3 linked regions of the Notamacropus eugenii genome follow. The protein of the gene in region 2 interacts with the protein of the main gene of each other region in a biochemical or structural test. Links are inferred from orthologs where the notes say so. Each region holds a gene or a part of one and is shown on either strand. Other genes may lie near its edges. The genes, in order: NOLC1, KBTBD8 and TCOF1.

Region 1 (3,747 bases), on a different chromosome or scaffold from region 2:
ACAAGTGTTCAGCAAAAGGCTTTGGGGTGTCCAGACAAGGGCGCCCTAAAACAGAACAACATGGAGAATCCTCTTCCCACCAGCCTGACCCCACCCAGAACAAGTTCAGTTTGGAAAGATTTCCTTTCTAATGGCATCTCTGAATCAAGCAGACACAGATTTCTGCCCCTAGTTCCTCTCCTGAAACCCATATATTTCAACCTGGGCAGACTTCTTCTGGCTTCCAGTGTCTTCTTCCTCACTGGAGTCCTCACTGCTACTACTACTACTCTCTGCTGCTTTGGCAGGAATGGTTGACTTCAAAGGCTGAGTGGATGTACCAGGTGGCTTGGTGGCTGGGGAAGAATATGGAATTGGTGAGAATTAGGCCTCTGGACAAGGGGAGTATTCCCAAGCGAGCAAGAAGAACCTTCATGTGCTTTAGCTAGAAATCAAACACATGGAAAGAACACCCCCTCCACTCCCAAAAATTCATCCCTCACCTAATTTTTTGGTTGGAGGCTGTTTGGCCTCTCCTTTATGACTGCTGTCGCCAGAAGCAGTGGATTTCTTAGCTTTCTTTGCTACTGGTCCGTTAGCCTGCAACTTGCGCTTCTGAGCTTTGGAAGACCTACTGGGTGAAGAAAAGGCAAAATGAACTTTGAGAAGGGGCTGGCCTATGAGACACCAAGGAAGAGAGAGCCGAAGGGTGCAGAAGGGACTTACTTGAGCCAGAAACTATAGATGTCCAAAAGGGAAGTGGCATTGGGGTCCTGTTGGGCCTGCAAGGACGGAAAGAGGTAGAGCTGATATCCCTAAAATGCTGGAATTTTTGCAGTCACATCCACAAAGTTCTATTAAGTTAGTCTACTCTTACAACCTGGGCTTTTTTTGATCCCAACATGTTTTTAGCTAGTCTTCCCAGCCTCATATCATCTGCAAACCCGAAGCATGCTACAATGTTTTCATACATATAAATTAAAATTACTGAACACTTACTAAGTACCTACCATGTTCAAGCTGCTAAGGATATAACAACAAAGAAGATACAGACTCTGCTTTGTAAGGAACTCACAATACATTTTGATACAAGGAATTGTATAATAGGAACAAAAGAAGGGTCCAGGCAAAATTATAACTATATTAAAAGCTTCAATTAATTGACAGTTACAAAGGGGCAGACCCAAGGAAAGCTCCACTGCAGCATGGCATCTAAGCTAGGCCTTGAAGGGAGAATGTGAACAAAGCCACTGAAACAGGAAACAGCAAGAAAATGGGGGATGGAGAACAATCCAAGCTGGCTGGGACGTAGAATAACAAGTCACATTTATATTGTGCTTAAAGTTAACAAAGCACCTTCCCTACACCCTATGAGGTAGTAAGCTCAAGTATTGCCTTTTACAATAGAAAAAACAAGCTCAGAAAAGTTGAGTAACTTGTCCATAGCCACAAGTCAGAGGCAAGACATAAACTTGTAACTCAAAACTCAGCATCTTTTCTTCTGTTGCACATTCTGGGATTGCAAATCAAGAGCAATTATTATGAAGCACAAATTTCTACAAATCTTATAAACTTTAAGCCTGGTCCACCAGAAAAATATGCATGATTTCTTCTTGCTGGGGGGTGGAGGGTGAATACAGTGGGAAAGAGAGAAAATACAGTGGTGGGTCCTTGGTAGAGTCAGATAATTCAAATGCACTGAAAAGATTATTCAAGGAGAAAGTGGAAGATTCCAGGTGGAAACACGACTTAGAATGGTGTATCACTGATCAGGGTGAAACATCAACCTGAAGTATTTATTATGTACTAACTATGTGCCAGACAGAAGGCTGGGGACACAGGCACAAAAATGGAGCAGCCCCTCACTTCAAGGAGCGCACGTGCTAAGTGACTGGCTGCAGTGGAAGTGGAAAGGTCGGCGTGTAAAAGCTGTAACTGATAAAAAAACACACGAACCAGAACCGAGCCGGGGTCGTCCCCCTTAGCTGCCCCTGGAGCATCATATGGATCTGACTCTTCTTAAGGGCTCCCCTCCCCCACCGCCTCCACAAACTAAGACCCATACTGACCGGTCCTGCAGCCTTGCCTCGATTTACCAGGAGAGGCTTCTGTGACCACCAGAGCGGGCATTAAGCCCATGACCCCAACGCCAGGTGCCAGGGATCGCCCTACCCGGGCCCCCCTTTCCCGGGGCCCACGAGGGCCCCCTCCCCCCTAGGCCCGGGGGACCACGTGCTTTCCTCTCCCCTCGCCCGGTGCTCAGATCGCCCTCCTCCCCGAGCGCGGGGGGACTCACGGTGCCCGTGGCCTTAGCGAATTTGCTTGCCGCCTCCGGAAACTGGTTGTCGCGCAGGAAACCGAGCACGAGAGGGAACAAGTCGCTGGGCACCACGCGTAACACCTCTTGCTCCGCCATCCTCCAGGTCCGAATGCGTCACCGGCGCGACTCAGGGCTGCACGTCGCGCATGATGACATCACTCCGGCATGGTGAGGGTGAAGGGAACCGGATGTGGCGTCACGGCCAAGCGCCGGAAAAGGCGGGGACTCGGGCCCGCCCGCCCACTCCTAGAAACCTTCCTTTCCCTTTCCCTTTCCCTTCCCTCCCACCCCGGGTCCCACCCCGGATATCTCGGGAAAGAAAAAGTCCGGTCGAACCACTCCGCGGGTCTCGTCTGGTGGGTGAAGGCGGGGCAGGGGCGTCGTGGCTCCGCCCATTCCTGCCGCTTTGGCGGGAAAGCTCCACTCCGGCCCCCGCCTCCGGTTTGCCGGGGCTGGGGCGGGGCGGAGCGGGCCTGTCTTACTGCTGGTTTAGCCAACAACGATTTGGGTCCTTTCGAGCCACAGCTGCTTAAGCTCCCCAGGCCTCCTTTTCCTCCATTGCAAAATGAGGGGGTGGGGCTTCAGGGGCCGGGGGCTCCTTTGGGGGCAGCCGTCCTCCCTGCACCCCCAAACTGAGGGGCGAGGTGTGTACGAGCAAGGCCCCCTGGGGTCCGTGAGAAGAGCCGCCCCCCCCCCAATGCTTCCCGCACTGGGCCCCGCGCATCCCGAGTCCCAGCTGACTTGGCTGGCTGCTCTTGGGAGATCCGGCGGTTCACGGGCCTTTAAAAAAAAAGCCTGTTTTTCAGTTGCAAATGACAAATTAAATTGAAAATATATGGTCATGCAAAACAAATTCTCCTGTTACTCTGGAGAGAGAGGGGACAGAAATAATAGCTACCATGTAGCACTTGATGTTCCACCCGTCCCTCCCAAGCCTACCAGACAGGCACCATTATCATCTCCGTTTTAAAGATGAGACTGAGGCAGCCAGGTGAAGTGTCTGGCCTGGGGCACACACGAGGGGGTTGTCGGCTTTATTCCCAGCACTCTACACCGCCCAGTCTCCAGGTTCGGGGGGTACATGGCTTTTTCATCCCCAGGCCTTCGCAATTTTGGCTGCTCGTTGTGTTCGTCAGAATTCCTACGTCTTTCAAAGCTGATTTTTATAATCCTGCTATTATCGCCTTCCTTTTTCTCCTCGTTCTGCTCACTTTACTTCCCTTCCGTTCACGCGAGCCTCTGCTGGTTCCTCTGAAACCTTCCCCTTCATCGTTTCTTGCTGCCCAAGGTTATATTCCATCACGCTCACACCCCATAACTTGTTGGCCGTTCCCCAGTGGAGAGGCGTCAGCTCAGTTTCCAGTTACTGGTCACTACAAAAAGAGCTACTACAAGTAGTTTTGTACGTATGGGTCCGTTTCCTCTTTCTTTTTGACCTCCTTGGACCT
Region 2 (3,747 bases):
TTGGCTGGAACTGCCTCAAACCAAAGCTGGCTGTCTAGTGCTATTTAGTGTCCACAATGGAACAGGACCTTCTTTGTATCCTTAAAGGTCACAGAGAACAGTTGTTTGTTGGTTAGATTTTATTATCCTCTTATCTATTTTTGATTTAAAAACTATATAATTCTAACAACGAGTAATATATGATCTTTGATCTCATCAGAATTTAGCCCTATTAAGAGTGTCATAGTCATTAGCAAAGCAGTAATATTATGTCCTGTTCTTTTTTATACTTACTTTAGGTTTGCTTTTACAAGCCCTAGTACCTCCCCACCCCCCAACCCGCATCACTAGGGGAACAGAGAACACAGAGTCTTTTCTGAAATTAATTGATGAATATCACCCAAGTCCTTTAGCTAATAAGTAGGAAGTGCAAGACTCACATTTAGTTTTAGACCTGACTCCAAAGAAGTTAAAAATAGAATGAATGAAATTAGACTTTTCCATTCATTTTCCTTAATATAATAATTTTGATTGGGAACCCATGGATACTTGGGAAATAGAGAATGACAGTGTTATGTTCTCTAGGGGAATGAGTACTGGGACCTGGAGGTTTTGGAGACCTGGATGAGTCTGAATTTGACCTCAGACCCTCAGCAGCTGTGTGACCCTGTTAGCCTGTGCTTCCTCATCTTTAAAATTGAGCTGGAGAAGAAAATGGTAAATCACTCCAGTATCTTTTGCCATGAAAACCCCAAATGGGGTCATGAAGAGTCAGATGTGACTTAAAACGACTGAACAACAAAAAAGGACATAATAATACTTGTTCAGAGAGACCTTGTGGCGCAGTGGATAGAGAGCCAGACTCAGAATCATGATGACCTTTGTTCAGATTCAGCTTCTATGGCTATATGACCCTGGGAAAGTCACTCTGCCTCTGGAGGAAGTTAACACCTTAAGCCTTTGAGTTGCATAAATAGGTGTTGCTCTGCATGGATTTTTCTTTGGCAATGAACTGAATGTTAGGTTAAAAAAAATCAACAAAAACTTGTTCCCTACCTCACAGAGCTGTCGGGAGGAGAGCACTATATAAATGTGACTTGTTAAGTTTATGAAAGTCTTAAAAATAGATTTGCTAGGAGCAATAGTTAGATAAATCAGGGCCATGGACCTAGAAAGAGCTAAGTAAATACTCAGTAATGATAAATTGTATTTTATAATGCTGAGTAACAAAGCAAAGAAACATAATACAGATTTAAAGTGTAACACTATCTACATAGAACACATTTTATATATTATGTATCTTTATTCCACTTGCCAAGCACAAAAAGTATCTTACTGCTCGGTACATGGGATAACTGTAACAAGAGTTGACATTTATATACATTTTTAAATGCGCAAAACTCTTGACATGTATCATCTCACTTGAATCTCACAAGCCAGCCTGCGAGGGAGGTACTGTCAGTACGAACTTCACTTTACGGACGAGGGAACTAAGGAACAGAGAGGCTGTGACTTTCCAGTGTTCACAGCGTATCAGAAGCAAAATCGGAATCCAAGTCAAATGTATCTTCTCCGATCGGAGAGCCAGGAGCCTGGGCTCCGCATAAAAGCCTGCCTCAAGCTCCCAACGATTTGTGAAGGAAGGTCAGCTACATGCACGACTGCAGCAGTATCCGTGAAATGCTAAAAGCGCCCTCCAGCACGTTGGGTGTCGTTCCTTGGGAGGCAGTAGGGGAGGGCAAAGGCAGAAGCCGAACAGGCTGGGCAGGGCTGGACCAGTCGCGACTGGCATTCCTCCATAAGAGGACAGATCTAGGGAAATATCGCAGCCATGAATCTAAGAGGAGGGGGCGGCTGGCCTCAGTCCAGGGTCCCTCTCGTTCACAAACTCTCCCCTAGCCCCGGACAGGCTGCCTGGGGAGCCAAGGCAAGCCTCAGGACGGCTAATGAAAGGATCGCAGGTAAACATCCAGGAAGGAAGGGGCTCCTCCCAAGTTCCCGTGGGACATATTTAATTCCTTCATGTTTATTTTTAGGGGCTCTAAACAGGAGGGGGAGGTTTGTCTCCATCTACGGGGCTCAGCTTTGATGGCTCGGAACTTAGGCCGGTGCCAGGCGGTTTCACTTGGTGGCACAGATGGCACGTCGGATCACTCTCTCTGGGGCGGGCGGGGGGAGGGGCAGGTGACCCCGGGCTCCAGTTGGAGGTGTCTCGGGGAGGCTGGGCCCCCTCGCATCGGCGGCCGCGGGTAGGAGGGGCGGTGACTCAGGGAAGGAAGTCCCGTCCGGCTGCCAGGCAGGCCTGGGGCCAGTCCTGCGTCGGACGCCCCCGGGGGAAGTCGCGAGGCCCGACTTCAGCTCGGCCTCGGTTTCCTCTTGGGGAAGGCGGGGTAACCGTGAGCCGACAAGGGGGAAGTCCCCCGAAGCCTCCCCCGCCTTGGGGGCCCCTCCGCGGAAGGGCCGGCCGGAGCGCGGCGCCTTGCCCACGGCGGCTGCGCCCACGTCCTCCCGCGCCGCGGCCCTCAGGGCGCTCCCACTTTGGCCCCACCCCATCCCCAACGCAGACCGCGAGGTCCCGGCCTAGGCCTCAGTTTCCTCGCCCGTCCAGCGGGTGACACCTGCGGTGCCCAGCCCCTGGGAAGCGGGGGGGATCCGAGGGGACCGCGCGGATCCCAATGCGTGGAGCTCTGGTGTGAGCCAGGAGTATGGAGTGCGTCCTAACCCGAGGACGACTCGGCCCACCCCCTGACAGGCCCCATGCCCACGCCGCAGTCCGGCCTCCGCCGGTACTGCCTCCGCCTCCCAGCGACCACGCGGGGTTGAGCTGAACCGGACTACATTTCCCGACACGCACCTCGGCGGCCTGCGACCAATCGGTACCCGAGGCGCTGGGCTCGGGGGCGGGGCCTGGGCTCCGAGGCCTCCCATTGGCTTCGAAGCTCGCTGACGAGCCGGAACCGGGGGGAGCAGGGGAAACGAAATGACATTTTCTCTCTTCTCCTCACTCCGCTCGAGCCGGGGCCCCTCCGAGACATGGCCGCGACGGGAGGTAGGTGCTGCCTCGGGGTGGGGGGAGCGGCCGGGGCGGCGGTTGGGCGGTCCGGGGCGGGCTTGGCGGAGGGCACGGGCCTCCCCTTTTCCCTCCCTCCCTCCCCCGCGACTCCCGTGGGCCCCGACGGCCGCCGAAGCCCGTCCGGTCGCCCGCGGGGGCCCCGCGCGTCCGCGTCGCGTCCTCCCCCCGCCCCGCCCCCCGCCCCCCGCCGCGCGCGTCCGTGGCCCGTCGGGGCCGCGCCCCGGGGCGCGCGTGGGCCCGGCCCAGCCTCGGGCGCGCGCGGAACCCGGGGCTTGTGGCGCTCTCTCTCCCGCAGATGCCAGTAAGTGTCCGCCGCCGAACGGCGCCCCGCCCGCGCCCCCCGTGGCCGGCCCGGGGCCCGTGGACGCCGCCCACGCGTGCAGCATCCTGCAGCAGCTCAAGACCATGTACGACGAGGGCCAGCTGACCGACATCGTCGTGGAGGTGGACCACGGCAAGACCTTCTCGTGCCACCGCAACGTGCTGGCGGCCATCAGCCCCTACTTCAGGTAGCCGCGCCCGCTGCCTCAGTTTACCCCCGGGAGCGCCTGTACGAAGCGCCTGCTGCGTGGCGCGCCGGGTTCTGGGGCGCGGGGGAGAGTGGAGGCCGGCGGGTGTGTGGGGGGAGACGAGGGGACGTGTGTGGGAGCGGGCCGTGGCTGAGGGGGCCCCTCTGGCGTCCGCCGCCCGGCACG
Region 3 (3,747 bases), on a different chromosome or scaffold from region 2:
ATTTAAAAAGAAAAGAATGTTAAAAATAATAAATTTGATTTTAAAAAAAAAGAAGTGGGCTTTAAAGGATGGGTAACAATAGCAAGCGTAATTTATTAAGTGCCTACTATATGCTAAGTGATAAAGACAGGAAAAAAGCAAGTAATGGTGGGGGGAGTGCGACAGGCAAACAACTATGTACAAACGAGTTATATGCGGCGCACACCGGAGACAATCCACTGGGCGAAAGCACTAACATTACTGTGCACTGGAGGTAAGGGTTTTAGCTGAGGCATGAAGTAACCCAGAAAAGTCAACAAGTTGGGATAAAGAGGCTGGGGTATTCCAGGCACAGGAGACAGGTAAAGAAAATGCAGATGACTGGGAGATGGAATGTCTGGTGAGAAGAACAGGGAGGAGGCCTGTGTCCCTGGGATACAGGATATGGGATGTAGTGTAAGGCGTAAGAAGACTGTAAAGGTCAGACAGGGCCAGGTCGTGAAGGGCTTCAGGTAGCAATCAGCCTATTTTATATTTAATCCTGGATGCCATAGGGAGCCCCTGGAGTTTATTGAATGGGATGGAGGATGAGTTCAAGAGGTCACTTTGATAGCAGAATAAAAAATTAACAGATAAAAGAGGATAAAAAGAAGAAGGCTAAGGGTATGTCAGACCTCCAGAACAAGCATCCCATTCAAACAGAGCAGTAGTTCAAGTAAGTACCCTGAAGGAACAGAAGGTACATGGGCATACTTCTTCAGTAAGGATTAAGCAACTATTATGCAGCATGTATTTCCCTAGGTTCAGGGGATTTTGAGGGGGAGGGAGAGGGAGAGAGATACAAATATTAAATAGTAACTGTTTCTCTTTTACCCAGGAACCCTGAGGGTCTTCCCTTCCCAGTTTCACTTTTTTTTTTTTTTGATACAAAATAACTGGGGCAGGGAAGGAAAGATCCTAAGGAGATGGGCAGAGAAGGTAAGGGGTATGGGCTAACTGGAAAGTTCTCTCCAAGGAATGAAATTCAGGATGAAGTCCAATGCTAATAAGGGATCCTGACAGCATGGAGTGGTAGGTAGCATGATGGACCTAAGAGTAAGGAAGAATTGGGTTCAGTTCCATGTCTGACAGTTGGGGGATCATGGGCAAGTCACAACTTCTATGAACCTTGATTTCCGCATCTGTGAAATGGGACTAAAATCTGTAATACCTACCTTACAGGGTTGTTTCAAAGATTAAATAAGACAGTTAGCCTGTAAAGTGTCTTGTGAAGAGACCTGGCTTCTAGTTCCCCATCTGCTCTCTTTGTCTGGAGCTCAGATTTTTATTCTCTAGGATGAGACTAGGAAGTCTCTACCAAGGTCCTTTCTGGCTAAAACAATCAGAAAGAAACAGTTTTGGAAAACTGAGCGGGAATAAGGAAGTACAAAGGAACCAGAGCCCTTAGTTAACTACGGGGTCTTTTCAATGTAAACCTTCCTTTTACATATGAGAAGACAGCCCAAGGCAGAGGAAGTCTTATCACTTGTAAGCAATTTACCCTAGACCATAATTAAACCCCAGGACTCCACTGGGTAAAACCCAAGACCATTGCAATGCGTATTTTGGAAAGAATGTCACCAGAGAACATCCTTCCCTTGCCACACTCTTCCGCATTCAGAGAAGGGCCCTGGGAGGTAATTAATCTAATCTAATCCTTTCTATTTTACAAGTGAGAAAACAGAGTTTCAAACAAGTTAAGTAACTGATCCAGTCATACACTAAGTATGGAGCAGTGCCGGGTGTGTCTAGCCCTCAATCCAGGGCATTTTTCACTTTGCCACGCTGCAACTCAGTAGGTAAAGTTAGGAGGAGGCCCAAAGGAAGAACAAGAACTACCCAGAGATCTGCCTTCCTAGCAAAGAGAGCCAGACAGCCATGTAGGAACAGAACCTTCTCAGCGTCTCCCTCCCAAGATCTGCTAGTGATCTAGCAGCACGTGTCAGTTCCAGGAAACATGGCCAACCTTTCCTGACATCTCTAGTGGATACACGCTTCCTGTCTTCCCCTCGTGCACACGCAGGGCTCGGACACCGCTATCAGCTGCTGTAATGACAGGGTTCAGATTGGGGCTTATCCCATACATGCCGAGCAGAGTTACAGGGCAATTACCAGCCAGTTCTTCAATAGGCTTTTCCTGTTCCTCTTCACCCTGGCCATCCACACTGTCCCTCCTTTCCGGTTATCCCTCTGCCATCTTCTGCTTAGCAAGTCATTCCACAGTAACTGAAAACATGCTATCAAGTATTTCTCCAAGGGCTGAGGCCACAAGCCGTGCAGGATGAACCCAGTAAGGGGGACTTCAAGACATGAGGGCATCACGATTCTGGGCTGTCTGGTGTGACAGGCGAACCCCGGGGATGCTGCCAAGCTGCCCCCTTCTCCCAAGCCTGTCCTGGAAGCTCTGCCGGGCTCGGCAGCGATCCGATCGGGGACTAGACAGGTGGCCACGAGGGTCCCTTCCCTCCCTCCTCCCTCCCTGCCTCCTCCTCACCTGGCCGCTCTGCAGCTTCACCTCCCGCGCCGCCCTCACGTAGCCAGCCTGCACCAGGTGGTGGTGGATGAGCGGCAGCAGCTCCCTCCGCTTTCGGGCTTCGGCCATGTCTGCGAGGCTGGACAGCGGCGGGTGCTGTCGGGCCCGGACGCACGAGGACCGAAGGTTTGCTGCAAATCGGCTCCGGCAGGCTCGCGCGCACAACTTTTCCCCCTCGTCTCCGCCCCTCCGCCCTTAGACCTCACTCTACTACTTCCGACTTCCCGAGAGTCTTATCCTGGCCTTGGGTTGTGCTGGGAAATGTAGTTTCTCTGGGGCCCTGGGTTGAGGCTCAGAGCGCTCCACCCGGCTGGGGAGAAATGGGGGCGGTTCTCCGGGGACTGTTGGCCATGGCGCTCGGGACAGAACGTCAGACTTTTCCTGATAAACAGACTACAAGCTCCTTGAGGGCACGCACTGCCTTTTGCCTCTTTGTCTATCCCCACCTTTATAGCATAGTGACAGGCACTTAGAAGTCGCTTAGTGATTATTGATTATTGATTGATTGGCACTTATACTAGGTGCTTAGTAAAGTGTATTGATTAATTGAAAATAAGCTTTTATTGCTATCTTTTTTTTTTTGCATGATCATAATTGTCCCAAGTATCCTCCCTCCCAGAGAGCTATCCTCCTATAACAACAAATGGAATTTTTTTTTTTGAGAAAAAACCTGTACAGGTTGTTGTGTTTCTCCTTCGTTCTCCAAGAGGACCATGACATCAAGATGATGACATGACTTGCAGTTGACTTTCATTTGAGTGAGGGAGGGCTGTGCAGTCACCAGCCTCACTTTCTCCTCTGGAGCTATCTGGGTCCAGTGAGCTGATATTCTTCAGGACAGCTGGAGATGGCCTAGGATGCAGTGTGAGAACCTGGCCCTTTCAGGCTAAGGTCTTATCACATTCTCACTTTGAGTGAGATGCACCCATTCAATCAATAGGCTTCTTTAAGTAGTTACTCAAAGGATGGAGGCTTTAATAAAAAAAAAAAAAATCAGACTGGGAGGGAAGACCCTCAGGGTTCCTGCGTAAAAGAGAAACAGTTACTATATGGTAATTATGTTGGCTTTGTGCTAGGTGGGTGGGGACTTGTACAGTCTATAACCTCCAACTTATCGATACATTGTAAAGTCTGAAAATAAGTGTAACATTTTAAAACCTGCAGACCTCTCACCTTCATGAAGGGGTAGGTTGGGG

The links.
Region 1: the proteins of KBTBD8 (region 2) and NOLC1 form a complex in vitro, tested with the Homo sapiens proteins (2 studies listed by BioGRID). The link is inferred for Notamacropus eugenii from reciprocal best matches to the Homo sapiens genes KBTBD8 and NOLC1.
Region 3: the proteins of KBTBD8 (region 2) and TCOF1 form a complex in vitro, tested with the Homo sapiens proteins (2 studies listed by BioGRID, with this or other methods). The link is inferred for Notamacropus eugenii from reciprocal best matches to the Homo sapiens genes KBTBD8 and TCOF1.

What each region holds. Positions count from the first base shown.
Region 1 is NC_092872.1:180,294,713-180,298,459, reverse strand, and holds the start of NOLC1 (nucleolar and coiled-body phosphoprotein 1), read right to left. Parts: upstream 2,577-3,747; 5' UTR 2,396-2,576; coding exon 2,276-2,395; intron 762-2,275; coding exon 706-761; intron 614-705; coding exon 483-613; intron 336-482; coding exon 202-335; intron 1-201. UniProt on the Homo sapiens protein: Nucleolar protein that acts as a regulator of RNA polymerase I by connecting RNA polymerase I with enzymes responsible for ribosomal processing and modification.
Region 2 is NC_092874.1:456,875,689-456,879,435, reverse strand, and holds the start of KBTBD8 (kelch repeat and BTB domain-containing protein 8), read left to right. Parts: upstream 1-1,181; 5' UTR 1,182-1,925; coding exon 1,926-1,940; intron 1,941-2,994; coding exon 2,995-3,028; intron 3,029-3,347; coding exon 3,348-3,561; intron 3,562-3,747. UniProt on the Homo sapiens protein: Substrate-specific adapter of a BCR (BTB-CUL3-RBX1) E3 ubiquitin ligase complex that acts as a regulator of neural crest specification.
Region 3 is NC_092872.1:378,243,938-378,247,684, reverse strand, and holds the start of TCOF1 (treacle protein), read right to left. Parts: upstream 2,753-3,747; 5' UTR 2,621-2,752; coding exon 2,513-2,620; intron 1-2,512.